3 linked regions of the Drosophila melanogaster genome follow. The protein of the gene in region 1 purifies or fractionates together with the protein of each later gene. This does not show direct contact. Each region holds a gene or a part of one and is shown on either strand. Other genes may lie near its edges.

Region 1 (5,383 bases):
ATCTACAGAGCGAGTGCTGTTAAGTTACAGTGTCTTTTTCGCGCCATAACTGCAGTTTGAAATGCTATGTAACTATGTAAATGCATGCCAAAAATGTAAAAAATGAAAAGTGTTATAAACAAATTATTCTACATTAAGTTAAAGCTAATGAATTTTTCATTTCATATATAACACATTTAACAAAATATTATTTTGTTATATACTTTTATTTAAAATAGTAAGTATCACTGTTTCAAAAATGCCATTCGATTTGCAATTTGTACTTAAAATAAGTGAGTAGCAGTGCTTCATTTTTATCGCATACAATTTCCCTGATGAATGCCTTTTCCGTGCGGTTAAATAATGCAACGAAGCTTTTGCGCTGACAAACACACTTTGTGCTGGGCGTAGCTCCATTACCTCCCTTCTATTACCTGGCTGCAGATAGCCTCCGTGCCAGAGGACTGCTGATAAGAGGCCACCTCGGACTACTCGGAAAAATCCCCAACCCATTGCGATCCGGGTAAATTCCCGACCGCTCCGGGGCTCTTGACCTTGCCCAGTGCGAAGTGTGTGTGTTTGCATCTGCGGCACTGCCAAGCAATCTAATTCGGTTTCTGGTTTCGATTCCACTAGAAAGATCCCCGCCCACGCCCACGTCCCAAGTCCCACGGCATTTGCCATTGTGATCTCGTTTTGCACTTCATCATTCAATTGCCGCCCCCGCGACTCATTGCCCAGCCACGCCCCCTCCCTCAAAGGAGGAGGCACGGCCTGCATTTTAAGCAGTTCGTCAATTCTCTGCTGGATGTGGACAGTTCTCCACAGCTCCTCTTCGTTGCTCTTACTGCAACGAGCCGGTGCGGGTGACTAGCTAGGTGATCTGATCCCATCGTGGAACAGGTTCTGTGCCCGGCCTGAATAAACAAATGCCCTGATAGCGGGGCGAAATTGAAGTATATAAAACTAGAGACGAGTGCGAAAGCGAATGTGAGTGATATGCGAATAGCGCATACTCTCACTTTTTGCAGAAGCTTAAATGAGCTCCAAGTTTATCCACTCGAAGTTTATCCCCTGCATTTTTAGGAATATAAAACAATTTCGCATAACATATAAATCTAGATTTTGCTTGCAAATTATCTAAACGCAGTGCAATCATTTAAATTATCATAATAAATACTTGCACTTTTCAAATTGGCCATCTCAAGATCGTAGTTATGCGTCCAATTAAAAATTCAAAAAATATCCCCTCGGAGTGTATAAATAAAAGGCAATTACTCTTAATTTGTTTACTTCCAAGAAGAGTGAATTTAAAGTAGCCGAATCATTAGATGAATGCAAATGCAAATGAATGATGAAAAATGGGCTGGCAAAAACAGAACTAAAATAAGTGACTAAAGTACGTATGCCCCTGGGACTAAGGGCTCGCATGATTAACATCCATGGATTGGGAATGGATGGGGATGGGGTGGTGGCTGGCTCCTCGTCGCTCCCACCGTGGTGACTCAACCGGTTGCTGCAACTACAAGCGACTAGAGAAGATTTTGCCCGTTTATTTGGCAGGGTAGTGAGTTCTTAGAAATTGAAGGCACCAGTGCATTTATATAACTCAATAGGCACAAATAACCAAGTGCCAGTCGGTGCGGTGGCATCAAATTATTCAGGTATATAGTATATGGCTCGATCGATTAGGGGATCAAGTGCCAAGACAATTAAGTGAAGAGCAGCCAGGCCGTTTCTATCTCGATTTTAGCTGTATGTCAGCAACTACGCTTTTTGACAATCGCAATCAAATAGTTAAATAGGCTATTTTTAAAACCTATTCACTGCAATTTTTCCAGCTTAAATGTTCGTAAAGAATGTGCTTAAGAAATTAGTGTGTGTGCCTAAATAAATTCTGTCAAGAGAAAGCGCTGGCTCAATGAATCAATGGCTCAATGGCTCATTGTTTGATTATTGCCAAGATCCAAAACTAATTACCAAACACACAAATGCTGCAGGCTAAATTCTGATTTTGATCGATTATATTGTCGATTATATATACTATATATTGTCTCGAAGACAAGCAAAAAGTCGAACTTAAGGTAGATCATGGATTGAGTAGCATACTAATTGATTTGCGAAAATCGCATTTAATGGCATAGCCATATATCAGTGTCGCAAACTCGTTTGCCGGAGTATATAGGCCTGGATTGCCGCCCACTCACGCCTTTCCTCGGGGAAAAACCGGTCGCCTGGACTGTCTTTCTTTCTTTATTGTTATGATTGCTATTATTATTATTATTACTATTATTATTGGTATTGGTATTGGTATTATTGTGCCTCCTTGTCGCCGGGCAAATAGAAGCGAAAGAGAACAAATACGAGTGCAAAAAAAAAGAGCACGAAAGCCGGGGAAAGAAGCAGCACATCTGGGTGGCTATAAAAGCCACCAGCCGGCTCCGGATTCTCCACAGTCGAGCTTCAACTGTTTCTCAGATGATGTCGCCGCATAAGACCCACACCTGGCTGCCACTGGCGGTGGCCGCCCTCCTGCTGATCCTTGGACCGCAGTCCTCCCTGGCGGAGGAACCCATTTGTATGTGCATCCCGGAGTCACTAGTTGAATGCATCTAACCAGTTGAATCCATTTCATACGAACCCAAAACGGCAGATCGCCTGTGTGTGCCGCAAATCTATTTGGCCGAGTGCCAGCAGCTGCTGGCCGATCCCTCGGAGGCGGGCATCCGCATGGAGTGCGTGGCTGGACGGGATCGAGTGGACTGCCTGGAGCTGATCGAGCAGCGCAAGGCCGATGTGCTGGCCACCGAGCCGGAGGACATGTACATCGCCTATCATCGCAAGAACGAGGACTATCGCGTGATCTCTGAGATCCGAACGCAGCAGGACAAGGATGGTAAGTGGTGCAAATGCTCGTGGGAGCAAAATGCGAAATGCTTTCGAATGAAATTAAAGGGTATTTAAAATGTATAGTACTGACTAATGACTAATGGCCCTTTGTTGTTAATTTGCGATTCGAAGCAAAAGGCTCGAAGGACCAAAATAGTTACTAGTTCCCTTTTTTTTTACTCATAAATCTCCTACTGGTTTCATTTCTCGACAGCCGCCTTCCGTTACGAGGGCATTATCCTGGTGAAGAAGGACTCCCCCATTCGCACCCTGCAGCAGCTGCGTGGCGCCAAGTCCTGCCACACTGGCTTCGGCCGCAACGTCGGCTACAAGATCCCCATCACCAAGCTGAAGAACACGCACGTCCTGAAGGTGTCCGCCGATCCGCAGATCTCCGCTACGGAGCGCGAACTGAAGTCGCTGTCCGAGTTCTTCACGCAGTCGTGCCTGGTGGGCACCTACTCCACGCATCCGGAAACGGATCGCCTGCTGAAGAAGAAGTACGCCAATCTGTGCGCTCTGTGCGAGAAGCCGGAGCAGTGCAACTATCCGGACAAGTTCAGTGGCTATGATGGCGCCATACGCTGCCTGGACAAGGGTCAGGGCGAGGTGGCCTTCTCCAAGGTGCAGTACATCAAAAAGTACTTTGGTCTGCCGGGTGCCGGCCCAGATGCGCCGCCAGCGGAGGGCAATCCGGAGAATTTCGAATATCTGTGCGAGGATGGCACCCGGCGCCCGGTCACCGGACCCGCCTGCTCCTGGGCCCAGCGCCCCTGGAGCGGCTACATCTCCAACGAGCAGGCCGTTCACAACTCGGAGCAGCTGCACCAATTGCAGTCGCGTCTGGAGCGCTTCTTCGCCAATGGACTGCAGGCGCAGAACAAGGACGCCGCCGCCCATCTGCTCATCCAGCCGAATGCCGTGTACCACAGCAAGGATGCTGCCATCGATCCCAAGGTCTATTTGGAGCGTGCCGGCTACAAGGATGTGATCGAGCGTGATGGCAGTGCCATCAGGAAGATCCGCTTGTGCGCCCAGAACGACGACGAGTTCGCCAAATGCCAGGCGCTGCACCAGGCTGCCTACGCCCGCGACGCTCGTCCGGAACTCGAGTGCGTTCAGTCCACCGATTGTGTGGTGGCTCTGACCAAGAAGGAGGCGGATTTGACCATTGTTCGCGCAACTGGCTACGCGGATGCCCGTAGCAACCAGCTGCAGCCAATCGTCTACGAGCAGAGGGCTCAGGATGATGTCCTTGTGGCGGTCGCAGCACCCGGCGTTACACGGGAGGCTCTCCAGAAGGCCAGCATGTAAGTGGAATCCCTCGATCATCCGTAGCACATTAGCTACATATACTATCAATATTCCGCAGCAAATTCAATGAGAATTGCGAACGATCCCGTGCTGCTGCCGCCTTGTTGAACAAGCGACGTGGCCTGGACGCTTGTCGTGTCTCATCCAGCGACGATGGAGAGGTGCAGATCGTGCCCGCCTCCGAGCTGGAGAAGCACAAGGACGCGCAGCTGGTGTGCCCCAGTCTGGAGCGGCGACCGGTCACCGACTTCCGTGACTGCAACGTGGACGTACAGCTGCCCCGTGCCATCTTCATCCGATCGGACACCACCAGCGTGGAGCAGGAGACAGTGAAGCATCTGTTCTCGCTGATCTCGGACAAGTTTGGTGCCCGCGGCAAGCTGGTGGATGTTTTCGCTCTGTTCGGCGAATTCCAGAAGGGCAAGAAGAATGTGTATTTCAACGTAAGTTATCCTCTTTCCTTATTTAAGCTTCGGCGTTTAAAAAGAAAACAACTTTCTCTGCAGGACAAAGCCGTTCAGCTCACCACGGAGCTCAAAAACGAAATCCAGAACGAGCAGATCTACACAGATCTCCAGTGCAATGCTAACAAGATTGCCAAGCAGTGATCACATTTTATACTACTAGATCCCACTATCTGCATCAATAAAATTTAATTCGAATATAAACAGATATCACGTCTTAATGCCTACTTAAGGGAAAATCGAAAAAAAAAGTTTAGACCTATTAAATATGGCTAACTAGTTACCAAATACAATGCTACAAAGTTTCCCAGCCAATTGGCTTTTCACACCACTCATGAATTATTCAAAACGAATTGTTCTCATTCAATTACAGCAATTTATGGTTTTCATTTTTAAAAAAAAAAGACACATTATATGTATGGAACCAGCTAATTTATAATGTATAATGTATATATATATATATCGGTTATGGTATATAGTTTCACATATCTGTGCTTGGGTAAAATCGCCAGGGAAAATCGTACGTTTCATAATTGCTTCGACCACGGTGTGGATTTCGGGTAAGGGTTTGCAAGGCTAATGGGGGCATTGGGGAAGTTTGAGAATAAAATTCGTTGATCCAAACATTCCATTCCAGAAGGGCGGCTGTGGCATCATCTAGTCTTCGGAGGCATCGCGCACAGCCTCTGTGGAAGACTCGGCACCACTGGGTGTCTCCTCCTCCTCGGAATAGTCCT
Region 2 (5,234 bases), on another chromosome or scaffold:
ATTAAACCAACAAGACCCACTCAATTTCGACACCCTTTTTCAAACCCTTTCCCTGTTCATGAAAGCCCACCCACATTAATGGAGCTGATAAGTTGCAAACAGATTAGAGCCATGAAACTTTAATCAGTTTGGTGCCCAAGTGGGCAAACAATTGAAAGCGTAGCCCACTCGAAATTTTGATAACACACTGCCGCAAATTCCTGCGGTTGGCCCACAACTAATGAATAGTTTGGAATGTTCTTTGGGGCGGAGGCATCATGTGTTTTCGAACCTGGCCGCAGAGTGCTTAAGCCAAAATGTAAAATTTAAGCCAGCGGGTAATTAACGCATACCCACAGCTCATTTTATGGACCAGACTTTCGCCCATAAAGCCAAACAGAAAGAGTGCTTGGCGCCTTTTACAAACTTGCGTGGTTTTTAAGACTTGTTGGTAAAAGTTTGGGTTTTTTCCTTTTTTTTTGTTCTGTTTCGCCGGTGAAAGCAGGCTCTGCACGTGTCCTGGCCTAAAGCTTTTGCTTTGGCCCATTTTCATTCTAATTCAATTCACACTGCCAAGTTCGCAGAAGCACACACTTTTCCACAATTTATAATTAATTAAAGCAAGTTTGTCTTTTGGGCTGGAATCTGGAGCACATTTGCCATGGCTGTCGTTGAATATTCAATGAAAAATTACATTGCTCGGATAAATGTTTGCGTGCAGTCAAGTGTTTTCTAGGAAAAGCCAACTTCAATATACTCTGCAATATATTACTATATTACATACATAAGTGGTATGCATGGTTTAAAAGAATCTACAAAAAATCGTATAAAATATTCTTGCCTAAGTTATTTCAAACAAAAATTCAATTGATGGTAGTCAAATTTGGCTTACATTGCTTACCGTACATAGTTCATAAACTGAAAAGATGGTGTATCTGCTGGAACATCGACATTAGCAAAACAAAGTCGAGCAGAAAAGTCATTTTCATGTTGTTATGGCCAGAGTGCAGAAATTGTGAAAATTCATCTTTTCAATTTTCGCCCGAAACCCGCACATTTATGCAAACTTGTTACGCTCGTTTTTGTTGCTGTCAATTTCACAGATTAATGCGCACACATTTCAACGCCAAAGTCGGCAGAAACATTTATTATTGACAATGGCCAAAAGTTTGGCCATTCGCTTTGCTTTTTGGCCAACATCGTTCATTTGGCCAGACGGCGTAGCGACAAAAATTGATTTACAGTATAGATATTTTAATCATCCAAGCTCTCTTGCCAGTTAGTTCTTAGTTACATTCAGCTACACACTGCCATTTCAAAAACCAAATTTATGGGCCATGTCGAAGGACGAGCCCTCTGCTCCAAGCCAAATTTATGGCCTCCCATTCGGCGATGGGCGGTTCTTTTTAAGGGGGCGTGGCAGCCTGTTGAGCAAGTATTCGGTGTTATTTCTATGCGAATAAGAAGCTTTTCCGGTGGCCTTCGGCTTGTTTACTTTGGGAGTTGTATTTCGCGTGGTCGCAAAAAGGTTTCTCGGATACTTTTTCGGCAAAGACAAAGAAATTCAATTTAAGCTTCCTACCCCGGAACTAATAACTCTTCAAAAAGTTGAAAACAATTAATTGGTTGTGGGTATACATTAGGCAGTGCAGTATTGAAAAAAAATCAGTATATGTATCTAACAAGCTCAATACAGTTTCACGTTTAACAACATTCAACTGAAAATCAACAATGGTATATTATTTTATGCAAGCAATTAAAAGTATTTCTCTTATCATTTTGCGGCTCAACAACTTTTGCGGTATTGCACTTTTTGCTTTTTCAGAAGCTATCGACTAAACCACAACGTTTGGATTTGTGAGAAAAAAGGCTCGACCATTGCAGTTTTGCGGTTGGGACTTGATAATGAATATTTTTAAAAATATTATTTTTATATTCGGACTGCTAGTTAGCTATAAAATGAGTTCGGCTTCCTGGGAAAATCACAGTTCTGCAACTGGCTTCGTTGAGTGAAGTTAAAAGTGTAGTTGAAAGTGTACATCCATAGAGAAAACCATGACTAACACGGATCTGAAAGCCTTGGAACTTATGTTCCAGCGACCCCTGGAACCGGCATTCACCACTCGTGACTCCGGAAAAACTGTATTGGAACTGCCCGATTCCTTCTATACGGATCGCTATCGCAATGACACCGAGGAGGTGGGCAATCGATTCTCTAAGGACGTGGATCTGAAGATCCCAATTCAGGAGTTGAGCAACGTTCCCAGTCTGGAGTTCACCAAAAAGATTGGTCTCAAGAATCAATTTTCGCTGTTTAACAATCGCCATCGTGAGATCGCCAGCGAGCTGATCACCCTCTTCATGAGCGCACCAAATCTCAGACAATTCGTGTCGCTTTCCGTTTACACCAAGTAAGTACTTGTACTAAAATAAATATATATGTATTGTATAATGTATTAATTTTTTAGGGATCGTGTGAATCCTGTGTTGTTCCAATACGCCTATGCCGTCGCCGTTGCCCATCGCCCGGATACGCGTGAAGTGCCCATTACCAACATTTCCCAGATCTTTCCGAGCAACTTTGTAGAACCTTCCGCCTTCCGGGTTCGTTTAAGTTCTTCTTTATTTGACCAATCAAAGTCTTTAATGGTGTATTTATAAATTTGACCACAGGATGCCCGTCAGGAAGCTTCTGTTATTGGAGAGAGCGGCGCTCGTGTCCATGTGGACATTCCGCAAAACTACACGGCCTCGGATCGCGAGGATGAACAGCGCCTGGCGTACTTCCGTGAGGACATCGGTGTTAATAGCCATCATTGGCACTGGCACTTGGTCTACCCGACCACCGGACCCACGGAGGTGGTCAACAAGGATCGTCGTGGCGAGCTCTTCTACTACATGCACCACCAGATACTCGCGCGCTACAATGTGGAGCGCTTCTGCAACAATCTGAAGAAGGTTCAGCCGCTGAACAATCTGCGTGTGGAGGTTCCCGAGGGCTACTTCCCCAAGATCCTGTCCAGCACGAATAACCGCACCTATCCCGCCCGAGTGACCAACCAAAAGCTGAGGGACGTGGACCGCCATGATGGGCGTGTGGAGATCTCCGATGTGGAGCGCTGGCGTGATCGCGTGCTGGCTGCCATAGATCAAGGATACGTTGAAGATGTGAGTTGGGCCCGTTTGGAATATTGAGCATAGGTCATAGAAAGCACTAGAAATTTTTATTTGCTAATCCATAGTCTTCTGGCAATCGTATACCATTGGACGAAGTTCGTGGCATCGATATCCTGGGCAACATGATTGAGGCATCGCCAGTCCTATCCATCAACTATAATTTCTATGGCAATCTACACAACGAGGGGCACAACATAATCTCCTTTGCCCACGATCCCGATTACCGTCACTTGGAGGAATTCGGTGTGATGGGCGATGTGACCACGGCCATGAGGGATCCAATCTTCTACAGGTGGCACGGATTCATCGACACGGTGTTCAACAAATTCAAGACTCGCCTGAACCCGTACAATGCCGGTGAGCTTAACTTCGATGGTATTACCGTGGACTACATTGAGGCCAAGATTGGCAAGTCCAATACCAAGGCCAACACCCTGTTGACCTACTGGCAGAAGTCGAGTGCCGACTTGGCAGCTGGCCTGGACTTTGGACCAACGACCGATCGCAACATATTCGCCTCGTTCACCCATCTCCAGAATGCCCCCTTCACTTATACATTCAATGTGACCAATAATGGAGCCAGACGAACGGGTACTTGCCGTATCTTCATCTGCCCCAAGGTGGATGAGCGTAATCAGGCTTTGAATCTGGAGGAGCAGCGACTGTTGGCCATCGAAATGGACAAGTTCACAGTTGATTGTGAGTAATAACTGTATTTCTTAGTATATATATTTATTTAATATTTTGGTATTTAAAAAGTGTTTCTTTCGTACAAAGCTAGCCAGTGATTTTAGCTTATACTTTTCCCTACTGACAACCTCCTACGATCTATTAACATACTTTAATTAATCCCCAGTGGTGCCTGGTGAGAACACCATACGCCGCCAGTCGACAGAGTCCTCGGTGGCCATTCCCTTCGAGCGCTCATTCCGCCCGGTTGGAGCAGACTATCAGCCCAAGGCCGCCGATGAGTTGGCACGCTTCAAGTTTTGCGGATGTGGGTGGCCACAGCATCTCCTGCTGCCCAAGGGCAATGCCCAGGGAATGGTCTTCGACCTGTTCGTCATGATTTCCGATTACTCGCAGGACTCCGTTGAGCAGCCCAAAACGTGAGTGCTATAAACCCAATTTCCCATCATCAGCTGACATTCTCCTTGTCGCCCATTAGACCCAACGATGCCTGCAGCACGGCGTACTCGTTCTGTGGTCTGAAGGACAAATTGTATCCTGACAGACGCACCATGGGCTATCCCTTCGATAGGCGCCTGCCCAATGCCAATCTCACCGAATTGGTCGGTGCCTTTGGCAACATGGCCAAGACCGATTTAAGGATTGTCTTCAATGATCGTGTGATTGACAAGGCCTAGATGATTGCTCCAACTAACAGAGATGATTTTAAGAATCAATGGAAACGGACTTGAAAACGGAAAACTCTTGGAATCATATACACTTTTTGCTATTAACTTATAACTAACCAAACTTGTGCGCGTTTATGTGGTGTTTTATCGTTTCTAATTACACTCTACAAAAATAAATGTATTGTAATATGTGCAGGCAGTAATACAAGCGAGTATTGACACCTAATGAATGCAGTGGGTAGATAGCTTTAGCCAAGAAACTTTTGGTAAGCTTATAATGTATCTAATAGTCCCAATTTACCACCCGGGGAGACCAAAGAATTTTACAGATTTTTATTTATTACTTTTTCAAGGCAAAACAGAGATTACTCGTTTTCGTTGGCCTCAAGCAAGCCAGCCATGGATATGATAAATATTTACTGATATAAGAAATCCTCGTCTAGGAATATTCGCATGCCAAATATTTGCTTAGCAATATTGAATATTATTTATAGCAAAGAAATACAGATACACAGCCGCAGAAGGGCGTTTATTTGTCATAGACAGACACGCCCACATTTGTGCGAACTAATCCTATTAGACTTCAAAGCGCCTTGCTCGACAAACTTTGCGATTGCCCATGTCCAGGAGGCCTTGGCGTTCCATCCACCCACCAAGTGTTGAGGGAAAATAGAAAAAACATCCTCGCAAAACAGCCAACAAAATCGCTGCACGTGTTGC
Region 3 (6,167 bases), on another chromosome or scaffold:
GTCTAACACGAAACTTGCATGGCACCTCCTCCCAGAGCCTCTTCAATGAGTTTGTACGCCGCCTGGTTGGCCCGACTTTTCGACGAGTTTACGTGGAACAAGGTGTAAATTTAGCTGAAGATGGGATGTTCCGTGGGATTCTAGAAATCGCCTGCTCTGCGGATCTTCCCGAGTGCCTGGAATACACACGTCGCCTGGCTAAGGAGCATATAATCGATAAAATTTATTTTAAAGATGGATCAGACTACCATGCCATAATCGATTCCGTGTTATGCATGGGAGTTCGGTATCTAAGCGATCAGGACTTCCAAAGGATAATTGATATGATGCAGGAAATAGATCGAGCTTCGGTATACTATGATGACATTATATATGCCCTCCGGTGCACGCAGAGTCATCGGCATCTGTTATACTATCTGGAAGGTCTGATGGGTGAAAACTCCACCCATATGGTCCTTTCCGAATTCGAAGATTTGATGTATCTCCTCTACATATACAAGTCGAATCTGGCCTCTCGTCCGGTCATCTGGCAGTATATCGAGCGCAACTACAAGGTGCTCTGTCGAGCACCAAACTTTTTAGAGCACTTTAAACAGCTCGCTGGATTTGTGCCCAGACATCAGAGATCACATGTAATGAGTTTATATCTATTTCATATCCTACTCGTTTTGTTCACACATATCTCTTTTCAGTTTGAGAGGCTACGCCAGACAATTGCGAACCACATGATGCAGGAGGGTCTTAATACGAACCAAACGCTGATCGAGGTCGATTCTCCGCTGGTGGGCAAAAAGATGAAAATCACCGAAAATTTCCAGGACAAGTTCGAGCAGCAGATCCACAAATGGCTGCTCAATGAGCTTCCTCAGGCGACCAGCAGAAGTGATGCCCTTTTGTCCGCCTCCCTCAGCGCGGCCAATGGGTCAAGTCGTCCTCAAGGAGTCCTAAAGGAGGCGACTAGGGTGTTGCGCAGTGCGTTACGAATAGTAGATATGTATAGGTGACCAGACATTTGGTCTAACTAGGTATCACATAAGTACAGGCTTAATTACGAATAAATTAATTTTTTTCAAAACAAAACAATCGAGTCAATTCATTCAACAGCCAAGAGCTTTTCAACACATTCTAAATTAACTACAGACGTTATCGATTTGTCTGAAACGCCTCCGTGGGGAATTGATAAGCAAGTATAAAACACAAAAGTCATCGATAATAAAAACCCGATCAAATGACTATAACTTTTTTACGCAAAGACTAGTAATTATTTCTGGGTATTTCTGGCCATTAAAAAGCAATTTGAAAAATTTATAACAATTTTGGACATTCAATAAGTCGTATAAAAATATACAAAACTGAACAAAGCCATTACTTAAGTTTGTTAGTTTTTGTACAATGATTACTGAATATTAAAGCATACAAATTTGATATATTTAAAATGTAGCACCTCGTAAAATTAATTGATACTTATTAGCGTTTTTCACGAGTATTTATGACTGTTTTGATTATAGCACTATAACAACTTGCATTTTTTCGTACTTTCAAATACTTAGTCGTCCCAGACGAAGCCATAATTCAAAAATTTACTGCTCCTAATGATGAAACTAATAATAGGAATTTGATTAACAAAAAAGTAATGTTATCCTGCTTTATTTTGATAAGCGTTACGCTACTGAATAATTAAAATGTTACCGAGGGGATTTTTTACACTATAGAGTACCATCTTCAAAACTCTCGTAGACTAATTGTTTTACAGCCCAATCATACTTCACATTTGACTTGTCCCAGTGCACTCTGGGCCAATAACCGTGGCTTTGCCACGTTTTATCGAGAATTGCGCAACAATCTTTATGGCGATCGATGTTGAGGATTAGATATGGCCAAGTCCATAAAAATGCCGTGTTCAAGCGGCGGCCGCTCAATAACAAAGTGTCTTTTACCGAGCAGCCAACATGGCACGGTGGCTGCTTAACTCGTTTTCGCTGATCCTGCTCCTGGCAGTGTGCAGCCTACAGGCGCGCCTGATCCTTCCCTTATCCCTGGACGATGGACAGCTGGAGACCAAGGGAGCAGCCCTCTTTGCCACCTCCCGCGTGGATGATAATAGTGCCGGCAATTACCGACTGCCAAATACAACGGAACCGGAGTCCTACAACGTGGAACTCTGGACCAATGTCCATAATGGCGATACCGAATTCAATGGCACCGTCAATATCGATATCCGGGTTTTGAACGAGACATCGAATATTACGCTTCACTATCGCCAGACGTCGAATTTTGAAGCGACGATTATCAGCCGGGATGTGGCCACGCCCACGGCAATTCCACTCACTGTAACCCCCGAGTTGCAGCGCGAATTCCTCGTCCTTACGCAGACCACCGCTGGTGAGGCATTTGGAGCCAACACCAACTGGACCATCACCATCAACTACACTGGCATCCACCGATCTGATATGGGCGGTTTCTATATCTCCAGTTATACGGACGATGATGGCGAACAGCAGTAAGTTGATATTTTACGAAGACTATACAAAATAATACCATTATTTTATTATGAGCTTGCACAGCCTTTACCCTTTTACCTTTATAGAAAATTATACTTAGGTTAGCCTTCTAATGGATGAGGGAATAAATTGCAAAAGTACAAAAGCTTATCGTGCTATTAATTACAATTGTACCTGATTGAGTACTTGCGGCTAGTTTCATTTCTTATCAAGAGACACAATTTGGCTTATCTTTATAATCTGTTATTAGTACGATGATACGCGCTTACCAAATAAAGATTAATTATCGGTTTAACTGAGTCGTTAATGTATATAACAATTTCTTTCAGCTTCTTGGCCACCACGCAATTCGAGAGCACAAACGCCCGTCACGCGTTTCCCTGTTACGATGAGCCTGCCCGTAGAGCTAACTTTACGATTACCATCCACCATGATCCCTCCTACACTGCCATCAGCAATATGCCAGTAAACACCGCTGCCACCAGGTATGATTTACGAATATATATACAAGCATAGAGGAAACATTACTCATTCGCAGTGTTGACAATGCTAGATACAATTGCAATCGATACTTTTCATGTAAGAAATGCTAACATACTGACGGTTTCGCCTTCCAGCTCGGGAGTCACTGCTTTCCAGACGACGCCAAAGATGTCCACCTACCTGGTGGCCTTCATCGTCTCCGATTTTGAGTCCACCACCGGAGAACTGAATGGCATCCGCCAGCGGGTTTTCTCGCGCAAGGGAAAGCAGGATCAGCAGGAATGGGCCCTTTGGTCCGGATTGCTTGTGGAGTCCAGTCTGGCTAGCTACTTTGGGGTTCCCTTCGCCCTGCCCAAGCTAGATCAAGCTGGAATACCGGACTTCTCTGCCGGTGCCATGGAGAACTGGGGTCTGGCCACCTATCGTGAGCAGTACATGTGGTGGAACAAGCAGAACTCCACGATCAACCTGAAGACGAACATTGCCAATATTATTGGACACGAGTACGCGCACATGTGGTTCGGCGATTTGGTATCTATCAAATGGTGGACCTATCTGTGGCTCAAGGAGGGCTTTGCTACTCTCTTCTCGTACGAATCGAACGACATTGCTTTCCCACTGTGGGACACCTATCAGATCTTCCACGTGAACGACTACAACAGCGCTCTGCTTAACGACGCCCTGGCCTCGGCCGTTCCCATGACGCACTACGTTCAGACACCATCGGAGATCTCCAACAGGTATAACACCTTCTCGTACGCCAAGCCCGCCAGTGTTCTGTACATGTTCAAGAACGCTTGGACGGACAAGGTATTCCGCACTGGATTGAACAAATACCTGACCAAGAAGTGAGTACCAAGCCATTACTTAAATGACCTAATATATGAACTTCTAATGTATAGAGTATAGAATTTTGATTAATCAAAAGATCTAAAATATTTCAAGAACTTAAAAAGCTAACTTTATGATATACTCGTATATACTGGGCTTAAGAGCCCTCATTTTAATTTGAACAGTAATCTCACATTGGAATTATTTTGTTTCGCTCAGCCAATATACATCTTGCGACGAATGGGATCTATTTGCGTCCTTCCAGGAATCGGCCGACGAGCTGGGCTTTACGCTGCCCGCCAGTGTGGACGACATCTTCAGTAGCTGGTCCCACCAGGCTGGTTATCCCCTGCTCACAGTGACCCGTAATTACAATGCCGGCACTATAACGATCACCCAGAAGCGTTATGTGGCGAACAAAACTGATACAAATAGCGCAACTTGGTATGTGCCACTTAACTTTGCCACTGCCAACAAGTACGATTATCGTGACACGAGCGCCACACATTACTTGCTAAATGTGACGGAGACCGTGATCTCAGATGTCGAGGCTTCCAGCGATGACTGGATAATCGTGAATATCCAGAACTCCGGCTATTACCGCACCCTGTACGATACGCAGAACTATGGTCTAATTACGGCAGCTCTGAAGTCTCAGCCCTGGAGGTTCCATCCTCGTAACAGGGCACAACTGCTGTACGATACGTACATCTTTGTCAGCACCGATCGCCTGAGCCACAGCATCCTGCTGGAGCTGCTGGGTTACCTGACTAATGAGCAGCAGTATGCTCCTTGGTCCACTGCCAACACTATTCTGACCGTCTACGATCGTTACTTGCGTGGCGATGATTCTTACTACAACTTCCAAGATTTCGTGAAGCGCCTGATCGATCCCATCTTCGATAAAATCGGTGTAAACGAGATTCCCGGCGAGCATTATCTGAACAACTATCTGCGCATCGTGCTGGTCAGCTTGGCCTGCCAGGTGGGATCCGATGATTGCTATAACCAGTCGGCCAATAAATTATCCGAGTACCTATACAATGGCACAGCCATTGAGGCCACTCTAAAGACTCAAGCCTACTGTGCTGGTCTCCGATCGACTACCAATGAAATCTATAGCAGAGTGCAGTCCGATTTGCTCAGTTCCTCAGATTCCACCGATCGCAGCCTGTTCATCTCCTCGTTGGGCTGCTCTGGAAGTACGAGCCAGCTGCTTGATTTCTTGAGACTATCCCTGGACACCAACAATAGCTTGAGCTACTCGGAGCGCACTTCCCTTCTAAACTCGGCCTATTCCCGCAGTGAAATCGGTCTTACCGCTAGTTTGGAATTCCTGGAGAGCAACTGGGAGGCATATGCCAACCTTTCAGACTCTGCAAAGCCCCTGGATGCTGCCCTGCGTGGCATTGCCACCTATGTGGTCAGTGAGAAGCAAAAGACGAGGGTACGTTTTTTTTTTTTAATTTATAATTCAAAGCAGACTTTTAATTTACTATTTATTAATTATATGACAGCTTAACGCTTTGGTGGATGTTGTGGAGGCTGATGGACCGAGTTATATCAATGATGATCTGAGCACCACCATTGACTCCAGAATCACATCCAACTTCGCTTGGTTGGAAGTTAATCGTGATCCAGTGCTCAACTGGATCGAGGATTCCTTAAAAGAGAACGGCAGTCCCTCTCTGACCTCATCCATCACCACGATCCTGGTCAGTGCGATGGCTCTGTTGCTATTCAGGCTATATTAAGATAACTCACGTGGTCAAGTATTAAACATAAATTCAGTAAAGTGACGTAAATCAACAATAAAGATTGTGTGCTCATCATAGATCGAAAATAGAACTGATTATACTGTGGAATTTTCGGGCTGAATGGAGTCCCCTGGTGAGAAAAGTTCAAAGTTCCGCGGTTGGGAAACTTAACTGATCGGTTTATAGCTTGGTTGACACACATTTGCATTGGTCAATCTAATCGCGATTCTAGGAATGGCATCGATAAAGCACTGATAGTTGAGCTTAGTACGAAATTCGATTATCAAGTGGATATTTACAATGGCCTGAATGGTTTATGAAGTTCACGTGATCATATCAGATTGTGATTGGCAACTTTCAAGAACAATAAGCCATTTTATGGTTTTCAGTTTCTTAATCAATTTCAATGGTTTTACCATTTATTAGAAGATGTCTAGCTGTTGCATAGTATCGCACATATTGCTTAGTAATTCCGTATGGATTAATGGGCCTTTTCTTATCTCAAGAGCGAACTTGAACAGTCTATTATACCATAATAGTTAACAGGCGTGTATATTTCGCTATCATATCAGCACATATGATAAGTACACGAGAA

Evidence for each region.
Region 2: the proteins of Tsf1 (region 1) and PPO1 purify together in Drosophila melanogaster (affinity purification with mass spectrometry, with the first as the bait; one large-scale study listed by BioGRID). This does not show direct contact.
Region 3: the proteins of Tsf1 (region 1) and CG31343 purify together in Drosophila melanogaster (affinity purification with mass spectrometry, with the first as the bait; one large-scale study listed by BioGRID). This does not show direct contact.

Annotation. Positions count from the first base shown.
Region 1 is NC_004354.4:18,385,492-18,390,874, forward strand, and holds Tsf1 (transferrin 1), read left to right. Parts: upstream 1-1,592; 5' UTR 1,593-2,457; coding exon 2,458-2,557; intron 2,558-2,632; coding exon 2,633-2,875; intron 2,876-3,082; coding exon 3,083-4,178; intron 4,179-4,240; coding exon 4,241-4,625; intron 4,626-4,688; coding exon 4,689-4,790; 3' UTR 4,791-4,853; downstream 4,854-5,383. Other genes in the region: Nt5b (5' nucleotidase B), read right to left, coding at 5,304-5,383.
Region 2 is NT_033778.4:17,886,701-17,891,934, reverse strand, and holds PPO1 (prophenoloxidase 1), read left to right. Parts: upstream 1-1,961; 5' UTR 1,962-2,034; coding exon 2,035-2,390; intron 2,391-2,447; coding exon 2,448-2,583; intron 2,584-2,652; coding exon 2,653-3,147; intron 3,148-3,221; coding exon 3,222-3,855; intron 3,856-4,012; coding exon 4,013-4,265; intron 4,266-4,324; coding exon 4,325-4,523; 3' UTR 4,524-4,715; downstream 4,716-5,234.
Region 3 is NT_033777.3:21,743,356-21,749,522, forward strand, and holds CG31343 (uncharacterized protein), read left to right. Parts: upstream 1-1,910; 5' UTR 1,911-1,949; coding exon 1,950-2,500; intron 2,501-2,830; coding exon 2,831-2,986; intron 2,987-3,118; coding exon 3,119-3,832; intron 3,833-4,034; coding exon 4,035-5,262; intron 5,263-5,332; coding exon 5,333-5,569; 3' UTR 5,570-5,648; downstream 5,649-6,167. Other genes in the region: CG5849 (uncharacterized protein), read left to right, coding at 1-632, 693-1,004.